Linked DNA regions of Caenorhabditis elegans. The protein of the gene in region 2 interacts with the protein of the main gene of each other region in a biochemical or structural test. Each region holds a gene or a part of one and is shown on either strand. Other genes may lie near its edges. The genes, in order: fsn-1 and egl-3.

Region 1 (8,869 bases), on a different chromosome or scaffold from region 2:
CAATTGCAGAGTTGTTCATAATGACAGAATCTTCCTGATTATATCCGGAATATGAAAGAATAGCAACAATTGCGTTGATTCCGGCTGGAAGTTCATTGAATCGAAGATATTCCATAGATCTTGTAGTGACAAGCGGTTTTTGTGGATAGTAGAGAACGTGTGCAAGAGTGTCCATTCGAACATGGAAATTTGTTGTATAAACTCCCATAGCTTGCTTACCCATAGCACTCTGAAATTGTATTACATTAATGATTGATTCGTATAAAAAACAACTCACTTGGTATGTATTACGTGGTGATTGATTATGATCTGGGAATGGAATGATTGAGGCACAAACTCCGAGAATCATGGCTGGATGAATTTCACAATGAGTATGAGTGTCACAGTAACCACCACTTCTCAAATCTTCTGGCATCATTGCAATCATTGATGTTTCTTCTTCCATTGAATCAATCAGTTCGACAACTCCACCACCAACAAGATCAGACCATGTGTATTTATTCGCTTCGTCAGCAGCCTCCTGGAATCATTGAAATTTTTATAACTCGACCCGTTGTCGTTTTGGAAATCATACTATTTTGAAAAAATCTTACCTTCAACTGATCAATGTGTCTCTTCTTCAATGCCAATTTCTGATTCTCAACAATAAGTAATGGACGGCAAACTCTTCCAGCATCAGTGTAGATACGAATTTCTCTGTCACGAATATCACGAACCATTGATACTTCGGAAACGATGATGTCCATTTGACGTCGAAGCTTCTTCAACGTCGTCATCAATTGATCGGGTTCACGATGAATTCCCACCCATGCACCGTTGACAAAGATCTTCGTAGCATCGGCAATAGCCGATGGAGACACTTCTTCAAGATTTTCCATTGACCTGAAAAATAATACTTTACGAATTACAATAGACCGGAGAATCCTCACCATTCTTCCAAGAATTCCAGAATTGGCTCTGGTAACGAACCGACAGAGATGTATGCCATAAGTGCCAGATTCTTCACCAAACCTACAGCCTGTCCTTCAGGAGTTTCAGCAGGACACACCATTCCCCATTGAGTATTATGCAGCTGACGAGGCTTGGCAAGTTTTCCTTCTCGTCCAATAGGAGAGTTCGCTCGACGCAAATGTGAAAGTGTGGCCGTGTAGGTGAGACGATTGAGTACTTGAGACACACCGGCTCTCGATTGATGTGCTTTCTTTTGATCACCCCAATTACCGGTAGCCAATGAATATGTCAATCCACGAGTTATTGTTGAAGTTTTGACGCAGACATCAAGAGCAAAGTCGTCATTCTTGTTGATATACTTTTGAGCTGTCATTCTCATCTGAAAATTGAATACATTCGAGATATAATTATATTGAAAGCTCACCTCCTTGAGAAGATTTCTGAAAAGGGAACGGAACAAGAAAGCAAGAAGTGGTCCGGCTAAATCCAGTCTTTTGTTTCCAATGTGATCACGATCATCAAGTTCACGACGTCCGAGGGCGGCTAGAAGAAGACGATGCACCATGTATCCGATGAAGAATGCTTTTTTCGTTTCGCAATGCTCAGATACACCAACATGAGGCAAAAGTTCTTTTTGAAGAATCTCACGAGCATATTTGATTCTTTGTTCTCTGGTTACTCCTGGTTTTGCTCCACGAGCTCCGATAAAGTTGAGAGCAACATTTTGCTCCTGAATGACAAAAGCTTCATCTAACGAAGGTTTGACCATTTCCATCATTTCTGGATCATTGAAATCGTAGATAATGTGTCCAAGAATATCACGATCTGATACGAATCCCAGCGCTCGGAACACAATCATAATCGGAATTTCTTGTTTAATATATGGTAAAATTCCAATAATTCGTTGACCCATCGCCGTCTTCTTTCCACCACCTCCTCCTCTTGCAAGCATATTAACCCACATTGTGGATGTCGGACGAGATGAATTTTCCAAACAAGAGCGACATTCCGTTTTGAATGCATATTTTCCGTCTTTCATTGAGAACACGTAAACTGTATTAGTCGCCATCTTTTCTTGAGCAATAAGTACTTTCTCCGAACCATTGATAACAAAATAACCTCCAGGATCAAGTGGGCACTCATTGAGTTCTGTTAGATCACGATCTGTCATATTGGAAAGCATACAGTAACTAGACCGTAGCATAACTGGAACTTTTCCAACGAACACTTTGTCGTACACTTTTTCCGTTGCTGAATCGTCTCTTGTCACCACTTTAGTGATATCTACGTAAAGTGGCGAGGCGTATGTCAAATTTCGGAGACGAGCTTCGTTAGGCATCATTGGCATTGGTGCTCCGTCTTTCTCCCAGTGAGTTGGTTTCGAGAGGTAAATTTGATTGAATTTCAATGAGAATTTCGCAGGATTTTCCATATCTGTGCCAAGATGCTGATTTTCTGATTGAAGTTCGACTGGCGGAGAATCCTCAACAATTCGCTGCACATTCATTTGGACGAATTCATCGAAGGAATCAAGTTGTTGACGAACGAGACCCTTCAAAAAAGAGATTCTTTCATGATTTTATAATCAAAAATACCTTTTCATCGAAATAAGCACTGATAACAACCCAACATGCTTCTTGCCATGCTTCTGCACTGATTTCATCCGAATCATCGATATAGTCTCCGTCCATCGGGTCATTAACCATCTCATCCTCATCATCGTACATCATTTTTGCCGGCGACGTACAGTGATTCTGATATGAGGCTGAAAAAGTTGATGATTAGGAAAAAAGAATTCAAGAAAAACTATAGGTATTTAGCGGATTTTTACAAAGAAAAAACCGAATAAACAATTTAAAAAGCATATAATATTATTATAAAGCGACGAAAAAGCTTCATTGAGAAATGGACCAATTATCACGAAGTGACTAGAAAAGCTCGATAAGCAATAAAAGAGATCAATATGGGAATGAGAAAGTGTGTGAGAGGAAAGCGTGCGGGAAAAAGATCTATTATGAGTGTTTTAATTACAGGTAAAGTTTAATATCAGAATTAAATAATTTTCATATTTTTCTGAAAATTATAATAACAGTAGAAATATGAGACAAGCGATGAAAACATGTGAATAATTACATTTTGAGTGGCGAATAAATACGCGCGCAGAAGTCAGAATATACGCTCTAGCGAACGTCTTCAACCCATTTGTGGACTTCCAACATACACCATTGTCACTTCTGTGTTGCCATAAACCGCACAGACAGCCGGATAGAGACGTAATGGGGGAATATGGTTGAATGCGATTCCGAGAAATTCCGAGTTTCGTTCAAAGTAAGCGACATGGGTGTCACAGTCGATTATTAGGCGGATTTTATCGCCGACCTGGAAAAAGGATTATTTCAGTTTTTAACTAATTAGTTTATTCGAAGATTTTAAACCATTATTTCAAAATATAATTTTTCAGGAAGTTAAATATTAAAAAAAAAAAACAACAAAAAAACTTGTTCTAAATTTTTAAAATTTCACTTTGTTAAAAAATATAATTTTTCTTTTCTGTACAGTTTTAGTGAATGGAAAATAATTGTTTCAATTTATCGAAGTTTGAATATTGTGAATTCTAGCCGAGGAAATAAAAAAAATGGTTTGAATTTCTAGCACTTTTCACAATGCAGATATACAGAAAAAGTTAATTATTGGAAATTTCTCGACAACTCAAAAAAAACTCGTCATGCGATTTTACCATGACGTTCATGTTTCTTAAATTGTTAGAGATGAAAAATTGAACTTTTTCACATATTAAACAACTTTATAAAACAAGAACGTCGTATTTTGTAAAATTGTGGCCCAATACCGTTGTTTCGTCCTAGAACGAAATATATTTGCTTGCATCGGCTTATAACTGAATTTTTTTAGTGAAATACCTCATATTTCGGAGGATTGTTCATTTTTGGATAAACACCAAGCTGTGCTCCATTGTGCATCAAAACATTATCTACAAGATTCCATCCCCATGATTGATCATCTGATCCGAGGAGAGCAACATAGCCAACACAGTGAAGAGCAGCATGTCTGAAAATGTTAAAGATATATCTTTAAATTTTCAAATAAATTAACTACTCACTTAGTAGCAATACCAACAACGGCTACAGTTCCCAACGGTCCATCCCAAGTTATATCAAATGCGTGTACTCCTTTTGAAATCCCTCGTTTTCCACGGACACCGTCTGTTGACTGAGCAACTGGCTGCCGGTGAACAGTGAAACCGTTGGTACGGATGTAGTTATTTCTTGAAATATCGCTCGTATTCCAGGCAAAATACCAGGCTCTCAGCTTCTTTTTTGCAGATCCCAGCTCGGCGAGCAGGAAGGGATCGGAAACTGCTGCTTCTGGAAGCTTCTTGCCAAGAAGGTACTGCCATATGTCACTGTCTTCCATTGAAAGAGCGTTATTCCAACTATGACAGGTTAGCATTGCAGATCGTAGGTCTGAAAACAGAGCCATGTAACTTCAAGGGGGAAAATGTTATATGTTTACCTTTCAATGGTAAATACTGAAAAATCTGATTCAGTACTTTCAGAGGAAGTCTAGAAGCTGACACTTCCGGGCGTCGTGGAGAACGTCGTCGTCTTGGGGGAATGCTATGCGGAGTCAATTGTTTTGGTGATTCATCTGGGGTTCCTGATGATGGATTCCCTTCGTCATCACATTCCACCATTGAAGTTTTTCGTTCTTTCGGGCTTTCCACTTGCTGAAAATTTAATATATTTCCCTTTTTTATTATTTTATAGCTTGTTTTCATAAACAATTTTTTAAAAATATTGTCTAGCTTTGAAGTTTGAAAAATTCAAGTTTCAAAAACAGTATTTTGAAAAAAGAAAGCAACTCACTTCCAACCCACTACTTTTCATAGGCGTTGAGGCCGTCAAATTGCACTGTTCGTCTGGAACAATCGTTTCCCCGTCGTTTTCAGCCATACTTCTCGATTAACCAGCTCACCACAGTCTTGTCATTCGCTTCAAATTGAGAATCCAAGTTTCAGAATGCATAATGTTAAGAAATAAAGTAAATCTCGGTAAACGACCGGTTTGGAAAAAAATCAACAAATAATTGAATATAAACTCTGCTTTTTGGTATTCAGAACAAACAAAAACAATGCAAAACAATGAAAAATCTATAAATCTACGGAACAAAAATTCTAATAAACCGAATTTCGACAAAAAACGATAAAGGAAAACCGTAATATATCATAAAATTAGATACACCATTACTTTTTAACTTTTGCAATCTTAGCTTTCGTTTTATCTCTTCCAGTGGCCTTCTTGGCGTCGGCATCAGTGAATAAAATGGATGGAGATGTGAAACGGAACAGTTTGGGCGAGAATTTTTCGTTGAAAAGAAGATTTTTGGGAATTGTGCCTTCTTCGGGTTCTGTCTCCGGTTCTTCTTCGATGGTTTCTAGTGATGGAGCCCATGTTGGCATTGGGCCGGATTTCAGACGTTTTTCTTCTTGTAAGCAATCTTTAAGTAGAATTGTTTCTCCAATATCACCAGGTACACTTCCTTTCACATAAATTACTTGTTTATCTACATTGATTCGAACAATCTTAAATAAATGAATTGAAAATTAAAATCGAGAGCAATTTCTTACTTCCAAACCAGAAACAGTCCTCCACTCATAACCCATATGTCCCGGCATACGTTTTCCTGGCCAAATTCGAGCATCGCCGACTGAACCAACGGAACCAATTCTACGATGTGATTTTGTGGTACGTCTTGTCGGTTGTCCACGCATTCCCCATCGATGCATTCCACCCTGAAAACGACTAGTTTCGAAAATATTTCGCAAGGGTTGAGAGATTATTTTGCTCCTTGGCTTGCAAGGGAAATTTTGGAAGTTTTAGACTATTGTAAATTGAAAAAAATTACCTGGAATCCCCAGTCAATAGTTTTTCCAGTAGCAGTTACATATTGACCAACTCCGAAGTGACGGGCATCAAGTGGCTGTCCAGCACTGGGGAGAGCGTCTTCTGTTACCAGGAAACATCCGAGTTTCTCTGAATTTATTTTTTTAACCATGAATTTACGGTGAAGGACTATCGAAAAGCGGAGCAAAACACAAAAAAAACCCAACCTTTCACTGGAATTCCTGCGCGAACAAATTGCCTACGGTACCCAAGCGTGTATTTTGTTGGATCATCATTTCCGGCACCCACTGTAACTCTCCACATAGGACCGTGACGATTGAAAGCCTTTCTTTTTCCGACGGCTGACGATTTATACCAAGCCTCTGGTGATGTAATACTGACAACATGATTTTCATCAACTTCAAGCACAGTGCACAGAATTCGGTTTCCTTCATTTGTCCATTGTGGGAGCATTCCGATTTTGCGGACAACCAGACCCACACGTCTTGATGAATCTGGAATGTCAACAACTGAGACATTGGTTTCTTGAGAATTTTGAAATGCAATGGTGGACGCCGCAAGAGTTTCTTTCTCAATTACGGTTTCAAGCAGATTTCTGAACAAAAACGTTTGCTAAACAGGTAAGAATTAATGCAACTTACTTTGTCCCCTGGCTAATACCCACACTGCTTTTCGGCACACTCTCTTTGACTGGCGGAAGCCATGGAGCTGGGGTCAATGTTCTTCTGCGACCTCTCTGCTGACTGATATGTCCACTGAAGGCCATTAGAATTCTCCCGGCCCATTCTGGAGTCGGACCCGTCGTCACACTGGATACCAGTGAACGGAGCATCTGTAATTAAGATTAAATATTAGTGAGATATAATTGATCATGAAATTCTAGAATAAAAATGAAGAAAATATCATCAGAAACTCCGCATGGAAATAAAAATGCGAGATACGAGAGCTGGACGAAATATAAAATGATGGCATAGCTAATTATAGCTTTATACCTTGAATGAATAACACTTCTGACAAGCATCAAAGAAACTTGTGTTAAAATAGTAGCTATTCAGCCAAATGAAGTGATTGATTCTGCTAAGTAATGAAAAATGGGAATAAAAAAGTCGGTAATGATAATCTGACGGGAAGATACTGAGAACAGAGGAACTAACGAATAAATCGAGAAGAACAAATAATTCGAAGGTTAGGCATATTACTTAAAATGAAATTATAACTAAAAGACGAACTTCAAATTCAAAAGAAGCTTGCTAACTTTACTTTAGCCCGACTTTAATCAATGCTCCTGAGAAACTGGGTGTTTCGTATGCGGCTAAACAACACGCGCATACGGAATTTCGGAGTGTTGTTGCCAGAAAATTCAAATAAAATTTTTCAAACAAAAAATGCAATTGTTTGTTTAAAATACAATTTTCAGGGTATATATTACCAAGAATTTTTAAAATAAAAGTTTAAAACCAAAGAAATGCGAAAATATTTTTATTGAACATATTAATTATCAATTTTTGAGAAAATAGGCCAATAAAGAAGGTCCTTCCCGTTCTGAATGTCTTGAATTGCCATAGCAACATCATCCATGCGAGTTTTTTGCATAAAACTAGGTAAAAGTTCTGGCACGTAACGTTTTATAATCATAAGGAATACTCTTATTTGGCGATAGCGTTGGAAATGGAAAATAGAGAGTTGCGCCATAGAGGAAATCTGAAATATTGATGATAAATCAATCTGAACGGAAAACTGGAAAAAATAACCAAATATGTTTGTTGCTCAAGAGTTAACTGATGCGGGGAATATTCAAATTCTTCGTTTTCAGATTTCTGATCACGCTGAAAAAATTTAGACTTTACAAAATTTAGATTGCACCTACGTTTTCGGATAAGTCGCCTGAGCTGGAAGCAACATCGACGATAGCTCCTTCTTCAGAATCTTCTGATATTTCAGAACATTCCTCTTTAATCAAATATTCTTGTTTCAACGTTTGTGGATCAGCAGGTTCATCCTCAGAGTCTTCCATAGCTCCACTGATTTTTTGATGTGATTCTTCTAGGACAGTTGTGCTTGATACGGCTGAAGAACTCCCTTCAGGTTTCAAAACTCTAGATTCTTCAACGAAATCTTGTGCGAGTATTTTTTTCGGAAGATTATTGACTAGGAATACTGTGCAAATTAGAAATTCATCAAGTCTTTTAGAATAACGATTAATCACTGGAAAGCATTGAATAGCGTTTCGGGTTAGAAACTCTTCCGCTGAGGAAACAAAGACTCCATGGACCTAAAATTTATTTTCAAATTAACGAATTTTGAAACTAAAAGAATAACCTTTTCAGCTTCAAGCAATACTTGTCGTTCCACAGCCCTCCGACTCCGCCCGTCAACAAACTGTATAAGTTTTGAATTGCACAAGAATTGAAAAATAGTCGAGTCATCGACTTTTTGGTTAGTTGTATCGTTATAATAATCTGGCAAGTATATTACAGTTTGGCACCCGTCTAGAATGAAATTTAAAAGTATTTCAAGTAGAGATCTCGTGGAAATTATTGGAAGCGACGATGAGATCGGAATTAGCATGTCCATGAATGATAAGCCATCTGAAACGAATTATTCAAAGTTAAAAACATCTAAATATGAAAGTAACCAACCTATAAATACGGGTCTAAGCATACAATCCGTGCTTCTTTGGTTAAAAATTGGAGTATTTTCTGATCCGATTTGATAATTACATATTAATGATAAATCGTTGTTACGCAGCAATTTAAGCCGCTGATGTTCATCAAAATGGCATGAAAAGTTCTTAATTGTGAGGCGACTCGTTGATTCCAAGAAATCATCATGTTTCTGGAAGTGTAGAAGCCACAATATTTCTTGAATACTTTTCAATATTTTTTTTCGTTTTTTGCGTTTTTTTTCTTGTAACGTGGTCCCTGTGTATGAATGGAGTTTAGTTTGTCGTTGTTTTTCTATTTGTTTGAACTGCAAATCTGGAGCCGAAAAGTGCC
Region 2 (11,177 bases):
GGGGATACCTGAAAGGTTCTGATTTTAAAGCGCTTCCAACGATATGATTAATTTTTAGAAATAGATAGGATTTGTTTATATACAGAGTTTTTGGTTGTTCGGAACTAAATTTACTGTGAGTGGCCCAATAAATTTGGTCAGCATTCCGACTAGACCAGTAGCTCCAATGAGAATGGGTACAAACGATGAAGCGATGAGGCATCCTTGAAGAAGTGCGAGTTTCCCGTAATAAACCTCTTCAGGAACATAGTCACTTTCCGTAGCATTACAAGTATTTTCAGGAAGACTCATAAACCCTTGAACAGAAGGAACATATGCAAAAGCCGTTCCTTGCAAAAGAGCCAGCCTAAAAATAAAAGTAATGGACCAATCTATTTGAATTTTTTATACCTCATTCCAAAAAGTGTCTGAATTATTGTAGAAATGCCACTGCTCACAAATGTCGAACTGATGAGTGTCTGTCGTAGAACCGCTGGAACAAAAAAGATTTTGAGACTGAAAATTGGTTCCAGAAATTGTTCAAAATCTCACCAATACTCGATCCCGGGCACATTGAATCAGCCATAATAAGAGGTACTGTTAAAAGTGCAGACACACAAACCATAACTTGCTGGAGTCCATATAAAAGAGCAATTCCAATTGGAGGAGTATCTCGGGCTTTTAAAAACGGCCGTTGAGCCGTTTTCTTTTCTCTAATTTCAACTCTTTTCTCAGGATAATCCATTTATCTGAAAAATCAAACGTTCAAACTCATAGGGGAAAACAAAAGGGAAAACGAATAGAGGTAGAGGTTTCAGCACAAGTTCGCACGGAACTTGTCAGCATATGTAAATGACGGGGCAGAAAACCAAAAACTGTATGTTTTATGTAAAACAGAGATGACTGACGCCCACAACTGTTTTTAATGGGAACCTATAAGTCATATTTAATATTTTTATAGAATTTTGAAAGAAACAAGAATGTTCAGGACAAGGAAAACGGAACACTTTGAAATTAGAAGGCATGAAATTACACGTGGATTTGAATCCCCAAACGGCACGTTGGAATTAGAATGTGTAACAAAAGACGTGAAAAAATATTATATTAAGCACGTGTTCTAATTGTCGAACTTCACTTTTTTCTTCTTTTATTTTTAAAAAACTTAATAATTTTAAAAAGCTTGGAGCAAATTCATTATTAGGTTTTGTCAAAAAAGTAGAATAGACTCGTACTTCGTCCCCAATAGAAAACAATTATTACCCTCAGAGTTCAGAGATCCACTGTTTGAAAACTACATGCATAATGATACATGTTTATAAATAAAAAGGCAGACTGAGTACATTTTTATTTACCGAAACTGATATGATCAACATATGATTTCAATGTGACTATTATAAAATATCAAATATTATTTTAACTAGACTATTTATCATATGTTTTTAACTCTAAAAAGTTATCATGGACAATCGGTGGAAAAGATTCAGGAAAATCGTTGTTTGTCAGACTGCTAGAAACAAAGTAAACACAAAAATGAAATATACAGGTAGATGGACGGATTAATGTGTTTTGTTCCGGCGCAATTCTAGTCGCATCAATAATAATTTTTGTGAAATAGCATTACTAAAAATTAGTGTTATTTTTTGGTTTGGGAACGTCTTTCCGACTTGTGAGAACTTTGTGAAAATATATAAAATTCATGATTTCTTAAAGAAATAATGTCTGCAGCAGTGAAATTAATTAGTACGTATTACTTTTCTGAAAATAAAATAAAATAATATACGGTGTTTTTCCAGTTCGTATTGCTTACAAAATTATTAGTCCAAAACTAGTTTTTATTTCCTTGCACACCTTCAATCCTTTCGGGATATACTTTCGGGGTATACCAAAATGGCAACATATGTCTGTGAAACGGGAACACTTGCTAATCAAATTATTTAAGAAAAATGTGAAGCTCATTAACGCTATTCCAGTACCAATGTTGTGAATCTATGTGCACTCTTACTTTTCTTGCTATTTTTCATTGATAAGGTTAAGTCAGCTGGTTATAGTTTTTCAATTTGAAGAGACAATTTTAATTGACTAATGTTTTTTAAAAAAGTAGATTAAGGCTAAAATCAAATGAAATGGTGATATCATTGGCTGATCAATGGATATCTTTATGGAGATGGAAGAGAGATTGAGAGATAATAATGGATACGACAAGATTTGATTGGCAATCTTCCAAGTGTGTCAATGACAGAATGTGTCAGAAAAAGATCTGAAAAGGATGAGAATGAACGTGTTCGTTTGTTGGAATATAATTCATCTATTTAGTACTAAAAAAAATGAAATGGTTTGCTAGAAACAGTGAATAGGAAATGAAATGCCGGAAGAATTAGAATCTGTATGTATACAAAGTGATAATGCATATTGTTGTGGTAGAGAAAGAGAAAAGAGGCGACAAACAGGCACGTATCATTGTCTGACGACTACTGGCAGAAGAGAAAACGATGAAGAGACGTTCAATTTGGGACGAATTCGACAAATGGGCAAAAATTAAATGGGGTGGGGCAATTACTGATTGAAGTTTAAGAGTGATTGTTCAAAATTTGAATTGAGATATTCTGGAGATTTTATTTTCCTAAAAACTAATTTTCCTGAGAGGCATTCAAGACGTGCCATACCTGATATACTCTTGGAAACACGTCAAAATTATTTTCAGAGAGTGTGATGTCACAATCGTTAAAGAGCCTACTGTCTTCATATTTATTACAAGTTCATTTTGCTTCATTTCAAAGAAAATGAGGAGCGCATAAAAAATTTGGGCAGGACACTTTTGGAATACTGCATGTTGCAATTTTCCAACAGTTATAATAAATAAAGTATAATTGATCTCAAAATTAAAAAATAAAAACTTAAAACACAACAATCCTTTTCGTACAGCAAAACTTATTTAAAGTATTTGTCGAAATTATGATAACAGATTTTAAGGTCTAAATGTGACAAAATGTCTACACTCAGTTAAATAAACAACAAAACATAATCATAAAAGTTGTATTTAACAACCAGTTTTTCATACAATTTTTACATACAACTTTATATATATATAATTTTTTTAGTTGCACCGGGATTTTTTATGCTTTTCAAGAAATATTTAAATTCTGAAATTCTAGATGGATTTGTGAGATTGACGAACTATTTTTCCCGATAAATTAGAAGGTATACTGTAGAAAAACACAGAGGGTTAAAATAGCTTTAATTTTTTTAAGTGTATTTTTAACTTTTGAGTTAACTTTGTTGACTACATTTGACTTCAAAAACGTATTCAGAAAGCCAAAAAATCTGAGAGATATCAATTGGATAGTGACTAAGCATCTAGTGTTGCAATTTACCAAAAGTCATGATTTTGAAAAGGCGGATTCTTTTAGAAAGTACTTTTCCAATGTTCGTGGCGTCATTTTTTGATTATTTCTTGTTCGACAAAAGACCAAGTGAATCATATCATTTTTAAAAAGGAAATTATAGTTTTTGCAGCAGACAAATAAATTGAACTATCTGCATGTCAATAACAATTCCGAACGATTTATTATGGGTGGTTCGACTTGTGCGCGCAGGGATTTGCATGGCGAATGAAGATGGTGTGATGATGGAGTGAGAGAGATTTTAAGGGCTCTTTTCGGTTTTCGTTTCAGATGGTAATGATGTTTTGTGTCTGTCATTTGTGTTTGTGTGTGTGTGGCTCAGCTCATTTAACAATTGTGATGTGATGATCGGGTCGAAAAACTGACAATAAAAATATGAAGGGGAGAGAAAAAAAGGAAGAGGGAGAAATAGAAAAAAGAAGAAATGGGTGGGGCGAATGGTGGTGATGGACGATTTGATGGAATATACTTACAAAATATAAAAATCTGTAAATCTGTGTGCGGCACCCGAAGCGACTACAACAATACGGATCACCGGATATTGGGGGCGGGTCGACTGGGAAGCTCGATGATCTGTTTCATTTTCAACTAGTTAAAAAGAGGAGGAGGAAGAGGAAATTCTTAGAAATTTTTTGAAGGAAGGAAGAAATTGGGGAATTTTGTACATTTAGTGGCTGCGTTTGTGGGCTTTTTGAACGGTGTCGAGCTTCTTGTTGGTTTGACCGACGATTGGCTCGATGAGATTGTATGGGGCTTCTCTTGTTCCGTGCAACATCAGCTCGAACTTCTTAAGGGTTCCGGCATGAGCTCCAGGTCCCTGAAACATTATTAGTGTTTACAGAAAATTTTGTGTACAGATTATCATATAAATGTTGTGCTTTGATCTATGAGAAAACAACATTTTAAGATATCTTATCTTAGCCGATTTCGCAGCCGATTTCGATCTAGTTCTAAAAAAACGTTAGGCGAACTTAGAAAAAGGTATACAATATTTAAGTGCTCAAATAAAATTGTTCATCATGAATGCATTACTCACTTGGAATCTGGCGACAAGTCTCCATTTTCCTGTTGGATTCTCTCCCCATGTGTGTGTTGTCATGAATGGCCAGTTGGTGAATCCATCCTTTGAATCATCATCCTTTGGTCTGCGGGAAAGAATCATGGTACGGGTTCCCATTGGAGAGATCAAGTAGAGAGTGGTATCTCCACGACGAGTCGAGTTGAACGAGACAACTGCTTGAACATGTTCCAGGTAGCGGACTTCGAATTGAGATCCGGCACATCCATCAGTATTAATTTCAAGAATCAAGTTTCCATCGGCTGGGATCTCACTGAAAGCAATTTAACGTAATGATTAGTTAGGAATTTGAATGGTCATTCTGTAAAAGTGACTTACTGTGGAGTGTCAATGAGTCCAGCAGTACAGTGATAACGTGGTGGGGAAGTCTTCCAGGCCATTGCCAACATGACCATCTCTGCTGCATCAAGAACTCCAAATCCGAAAAGGTGATTGTACTCGAGTCCAACTCCATTCATTTGCCATTCAAAGTGAGAACAGTTTCCATGAGAGTCGCGGTGGTTATCGTTGATTCCGAGAGATGGGAAGTCACGGCATCTTCCGTCAAACAGGGAGTTTCTGCTTGAAGTGAGAACTGTCAAGTGTTGGAGATCTCTCCAGGTAAGAGATGGATTGGCTTCAAGAGCAAGGGCAAAGACTCCTGCCGCTTCTGGAGCAGCAGCGGAAGTTCCGGAGTGAGATCGGGTGCATCTTCCGTAGAGATCGGTAGTAGCGACTCCGGTTTCTGGGTTTCGTCCTCCATTGGAGAAAGTGGAAGCAAGGGTTGATGAACAAGATCTGAAGTTTGTTTTAATTTGTGTTTGAAGTGAAAATAAAACTCGAAACATACTCATCGTAGTGAGCATTTTCTCCATTGTTAATGGCTGAATTGATCGAGATTGTCCACATGCTTGCCGCATATCCATCACAATTACAATCATCATCCTCTCCTCCGTCTCCACTGGCCCAAACAAAAATGGATCCAAGTCCGTTACGTCCCTCGTTGACACCCCTGACGATTGCTCGCATAGTGGCATTACGTGGTCCATCAACAGTCTTTCCATCATCAGTCGGTCCCCATGAAGCAGAGTAGATATGAATTTTGCTCGGCTCGTGTCCCATTGAATTGGCTTCAATGAGATCGGTCATGTAGGGTTGATCAAGCATTCTGATTCCAGCAACCTTTCCGTCATAGGCAACTCCGACTCCACAGACACCGTTGTCACGGGCGGCAACGATTTCTCCGGCGCATCGAGTTCCGTGGGAATTGAACCAGTCATCAGTGTATCTTGGATATGGGAATGGATCATTTGATGAGAAATCGTATGAAGCTTCGGCATTCTGGAAAAAAATTCGATTCATAAATCTACTGTAAACAGATAATTTGACGAAATTTTCAATTTTAAACATCAATTTTAAAAAGATTATAAAAATCAGTGAAATAAATGTTCAATTATGTTACGTCTACAAATGAGACTTTTGAGAATCCATTTTTTGAGACAAATGGCTCTCAAGTAAGTTTTCAATAGCTTTTTGGTTATTCTAGACTTTACATTTTTGGTTTCTGATTTCTTCGAAGAGAAATCCAAAAAAATTTACTGGGCATTTTAGTGTTCTCAAGACAGCTTTGGAATTTAATTCAGTTTCCCTATTTTATGGCTTCACTATTTGTCTCAAATATCAAAATATGTGAGTTTCTACCAAAACGATAAGACCCTGATTGTAATGTGTAATCAGACGACTTACAAAGTTGTTCTTAATATCCGGATGCATGTAATCCACTCCGTCATCCATAATCGCTGTTGTGATGTTCTTTCCAGTAAATCCCATTGCCCAAGCCTTAAAATTTTTATTTTCCAAAATTTTTATTTTTCTTTTCAATTTGTTACCCTTTCCACATTCAAATCCAAACGAGCTTTTCCGCCAGCTTGTCCAGTGTTTTTCTGGAAAAAGAGCATGTTTCGGAGAGAATTTTTTGGCGCAGAGCAGCAGAACATTGGGGCGCATTTTTCTTTATTCTCCTCCCTCGTTTTTTTCTTTTCATGACGAAGTTATCTCATGAACTATTTACATGGTTGGGAGGAAAGCAACGGAAAGACGAGACGAAAGGAAATTCTGATGAAGCCCTCAGGGTAGGGACAACCAAGAAAATGGATCCCTAATTTATGGGGGGAGAGGGTAGACGTTGTGCACGATCAGAAAAACATCAAAAAAACTTTTGTGCAGGTTTAATTAATAAAAGTTATCAATGTTTTCGTGTCCTTAGTTCTGGAATTACGATTTATTAAAAAAAACGTTGAAGACGGAAATATTTTTGTTATTCTCATTATCTAATGCATACTATCTGAAATACTAGGAAATTAGTACGAACTGAACGAATTGCGTCACGTGGTTGCCTGAATTCGAAATACCAAGTAACATTATTTCTGTTCAAAATGTGTTCCTTGACTCACCAAGTACCACTGATATCCATAAAGTGGATCCGATGGAGACATGACTGCTGAAAAGTCAAACTGGCTTTCCAGTCGCTGTTCAAGCGGACGATATCCTCGCTTTGTACGGGTGTATCCTTTCAGCTGCTCGACGTGAAGAACCTGAATAAAGAATGAAAAAAGTTGGATGAAATGACGTAGGGAAGAGATGTTGGAAGGAATATTCTATTGCTCTAAATGATCAAATGAATGACCATTTTGAATTGGATTTAACACAGATTTAGCTGATCAATGTTGTAAAAATAGGTGTATGGTGAAGAGAATTATGGGATTAGTATATCAATATATTTTGTTTTTGAAAGTTAAAATTTGTCCGGATCATTGTTGAATTTGTCATGATTGTTTTTTTTACAAATTTCACATTATGTGGTGACGAATGCTTTTGAACAGAACTGTGTAGTATAATGTTTCTAGTTTAAATATTTGTGCAACCAGCACTTGTTCATGATAATAAATACTGCGATCAGTAATTACCGAAATAATACGAATTATATTCCATTCAATGTCAGTGTCAGTATTCAATTAATGACTGCAAATCGCCTAGTTAATATAACTTTTAAAATTTTGGCAAAAATGTGCCGCACTAAATTCTATGAAATTCACATCATTTAGTTTTTTGTTTTTGCCTCAATTTGAATTAAGAACTTCTGTTAAATAAAGCGATGTTTATCATAAGTTGTAAAATGTAATTTTCAACTGTCTAACCGAACTTTTACTTTTTTAAAGTAGTCTGATTACCAATTTATATGCTTCTCTATAACATTTTTCTTGGTCAAAACAGCAACAAGTCTACAGTAACCCATGATTTCTTACCTCATCATCATTATGAAGTTTAGCATGATGACCTGCTGATCTTCTGGTTCGTGCATGAACAAGTGCTGGTTGCACAAAATGATATTCATTATCACTTGCTGCAACTTGTCCTCTATTAATAAATCCGTGACGTTTGGCTATCCGATGCGCATCTTCCAGTCCACCTCCCTCTTTTAAATGAACATGGAAATGGTTGGTGTAGACGTCGACCGCCTCACCAATGCCGATGAAAATCGACAGGAACACACATATTAGGTCGACATGTGTGTTTTTCATACCTTCAATTGAAAAATATTTATTGTCAATATTCGAAAAGACAATAGATCGAAAGAATATAAAGAAAATAATGAGGTTGAATAAAATATGAGTCAGGTTTGTAAGGCTGGTTTTTTTTCACACAACTTCCGAGAATTTTTGATTTACTCTAATAAAAGTTTAAAGGCGTTTTGAAGAATGTCTTACCTTTGAAAAATGTAATGAAAGGTTGCAAAAAAAATTTTCAGAGAGATATTTAGATTTTTCTAAAAAAAAACACGGGTTTTCAAATTTGCGGAAGTTTAGTCAGGCATCTGATGATAAATTCAGTTAAATCGGCCGACTTGAAAGGATAAAGTTTTCATGAAGTTCACAGAAATATATCGGGTCCGGACTCCGACTTTGAAACTTTTATTTTTGAAATTTTAAATTGTTTGAAACTAGAATATTTTTAAAAATTTCATGTAATCTCCAGTTTCCCTCATGAAAAAATTTATTAAATACCAAGATTTTCTTAATATTATTCATCCAAAATTTATAAAAACGAAAAATACGTTAATATGATTTGACATTTCCACAAAAAAGCTGAATAAAAATGTATGTCGTTTGGGCTGATTCAACCCGGAACTGCTTATCAAAAGAGAGCGTGTGACGTGAATATATTGGATCAAGCTCAGAATAAGAATGAGTCAATGGGTCGCAAAAGAGCATCTTTGAGCTATCATTTCAGAATAAAAAACATCTAATTCATAATAACATGGCTGGAACCGGAAATGTCAAAATCTTTTTTTTTGTGCGCGGGCGCAAACTCGGAAAACGAGAAAACGAGAAAAGATGTCAGTTTGGTTGAGCCTTCACAGCAGTGCTGAAAAAGTGGGCGGTTCGGAGAGCAGGGGGAAGATAGGCGACGAAGAAGCAGCAGGAGAAGAAAAAGAAGAAAAAAGAAGGCGAAAGAAAAAGATGACGACTATGAAGAGGTGGTGAGGGTGAAAGCTGTGCGCGTGCCCACACTGATCGATACGATGAAGCCGTCGCTGGGCACTGCACCTTATCGATCTGCTTGGCTCGGCAGCTCTCATTGGCTCTAGGCATTCACACACACACATACACACTCACGCACACAGATCTCTATGAGTCTTCTCTTCGATTTCAGATGACGTCGCTTTTTTGCCTCTTCTGAAATGCGATGGGATGTGTGTGAGTGCTGAAGCGAGAGAGTATGAGTTTGGAAGAGCTCTCGACTTTCTCTCGGCTCACATGCTTGTTCATTTTTCTGCCTCGTTTCCAGTCAGAGCAGTGAAGAGATAATCAAATGAATGACACATAGGGAAAGAGAATGAAGAAGAAGATGTGCTTGGATCTGTGTATGCCCCCGATTCATCATCATCAGGAGCCCTTCGTGTTTTTCGACAAAATACTCAAATGAGATGAACCGGGAAATTTGAAGGGAAGTGAGAAAGATCTTTTAATATTCAAAATATTCGGAATATTCGCACGAAAATTGGAATAATTTCTTGGAAAGTAAATAATGTCACCGAGACAATGGTTCTAGTGTGGCTGTGTTATATATTGGTATTTTCCTTTAAAAAATTTAATATCATTTTTTTAATATGTCTATATTTTTCATAAACAAATTTCTTGAATTTAGTGTTCCGTGATACTATCAACTCAGTGTTCTTGTTTTTTTAGACCACAGCTAAATATGGAAAATTGGTCTTCTGTTAAAGTCGAACAATTGAAATAATAGTACATATTTTTTCGACAACACATTGCTAGAATCTTACGGATTATGGGAAAGGTGTAATTTCTCTAGAAATAAAAATTTGGTTTTATTCGTGTTCCAACAAGTCTGCAAACTTATTTATAATGAACGAAAGCCAGAGATCATAACGTTTTCTTTACAGGAAATTATATTTTTATGGGATCAAATTCATGTAAAGAAGGAACAAGGCGCTCAGAAGAAGGAAAAGAAAAAACTTAGAGAATAACTCTCAGAAACAAGAGTTCAAAAACCCAGGACTCTAGTGAATAGGAGTTTCCGGGAATGAAGCACATGGTCGAGAGCCTATGCATGGAGCAAGAGCAGCTTAACCTAATGGAAGAGCTCTTTGACCTTTATGAAATTAAGATTATAGTTTAAGCTATAATTTAGAGCCTAATATGTAATTGATAATCTCATTTTAAAAGCTCAAATTCAGAACTCTTGAATTCCATTTTGAGTGCTGCATTAAGTTGTAGAAGAAGAAATAGCAAAAGAGACGTCATTGTTCCTTTTGTGTTTTGCACATTTCAAAACTAATTACGTTTACGTGCAAGTTTTCAAGTTTTGAAAAAAGTTTTTGTAAACAAATTATAAGATGTGTAAACTATTAGGTGGTAAATATTTCTTAATAGATAAAATGAAAAGTTTCCATTGAAAAAATTTAAGCTAAATGAGTGTCTTGAAATAAGAAATGAAGAAATGTCTACTCTGGGCAAACAGGAAACATGCAGGAAATAGGCGTAGGCACGCACGTAGGTCGGCATTTCCGTGGGAAGAAGTGCCGCTTACCTTAGAAGTTCCTCCAAGTTACTTTATTATGTGACTCATAGATATTGTATATAATCAAGTACCTATTCTCACAATCAAGTAGCATAAGAATTCTACATGTTTATGATGCGCTCAAAGCTTCTGTCAGACAATAAGTACACCTTTTTGATACAATATATTCAAACCCACAAAGCGACCAAAATGAGCTGAAACGAAATGACGTGAAGAGACAGGTTGTGTGAGTGTGTTAATGGAGCTATTAGTCTATTTCAGAGAACGGATCACAATGTGAAAACAAACAGAAAAAAGTTATGAGAGAAAGGAAAGAGCTTCTTTATTTTCTTTTTTTTTCATTTTAGTTTGTTGCCAGACTAAACGAAAATCCACAAAAAAATCCCCGTGGACTAGTACATTCGTAATATGCGTATTAAAAACTTCATGAAAAATGTGCGTTTCTGCTTGAAAAAACATTGAAATTTTCAGCTGTTTTATAATACTGGGAACACATGATCTTGTAATGATTAAAGGGAATTCTAGGAGCTCAACTGAATTAAAACGAATTAAAAGAAATATAGTTTTTAAAAAAATACTACATATAAGTAATATTTATTTTTTATCAGACAAGACTTTTCATGATTTGCACTACAAAC

The links.
Region 1: of the proteins of egl-3 (region 2) and fsn-1, one has a biochemical effect on the other in vitro, tested with the Caenorhabditis elegans proteins (one study listed by BioGRID).

The regions. Positions count from the first base shown.
Region 1 is NC_003281.10:4,933,414-4,942,282, reverse strand, and holds fsn-1 (F-box/SPRY domain-containing protein 1), read right to left. Parts: upstream 4,962-8,869; 5' UTR 4,923-4,961; coding exon 4,836-4,922; intron 4,697-4,835; coding exon 4,483-4,696; intron 4,434-4,482; coding exon 4,070-4,433; intron 4,018-4,069; coding exon 3,870-4,017; intron 3,331-3,869; coding exon 3,145-3,330; 3' UTR 2,830-3,144; downstream 1-2,829. Other genes in the region: rpb-2 (DNA-directed RNA polymerase II subunit RPB2), read right to left, coding at 1-229, 278-520, 594-882, 930-1,330, 1,376-2,503, 2,547-2,681; mrps-18C (Large ribosomal subunit protein uL3m), read right to left, coding at 5,213-5,551, 5,597-5,761, 5,875-6,002, 6,080-6,468, 6,515-6,705; eri-9 (Zc3h12a-like Ribonuclease NYN domain-containing protein), read right to left, coding at 7,365-7,574, 7,625-7,699, 7,741-8,145, 8,193-8,461, 8,513-8,869. UniProt on the Caenorhabditis elegans protein: Component of a SCF (SKP1-CUL1-F-box protein) E3 ubiquitin ligase complex which is required for the restriction and/or maturation of synapses in GABAergic neuromuscular junction (NMJ) presynaptic neurons.
Region 2 is NC_003283.11:10,165,734-10,176,910, forward strand, and holds egl-3 (Neuroendocrine convertase 2), read right to left. Parts: upstream 8,021-11,177; 5' UTR 8,019-8,020; coding exon 7,743-8,018; intron 7,032-7,742; coding exon 6,891-7,031; intron 6,381-6,890; coding exon 6,327-6,380; intron 6,277-6,326; coding exon 6,184-6,276; intron 5,779-6,183; coding exon 5,288-5,778; intron 5,236-5,287; coding exon 4,777-5,235; intron 4,712-4,776; coding exon 4,417-4,711; intron 4,198-4,416; coding exon 4,048-4,197; 3' UTR 3,444-4,047; downstream 1-3,443. Other genes in the region: C51E3.6 (Solute carrier family 23 member 2), read right to left, coding at 1-8, 115-346, 391-472, 532-724. UniProt on the Caenorhabditis elegans protein: Serine endoprotease which cleaves preproteins at paired basic amino acids. Processes FMRFamide-like (flp) and neuropeptide-like protein (nlp) neuropeptides.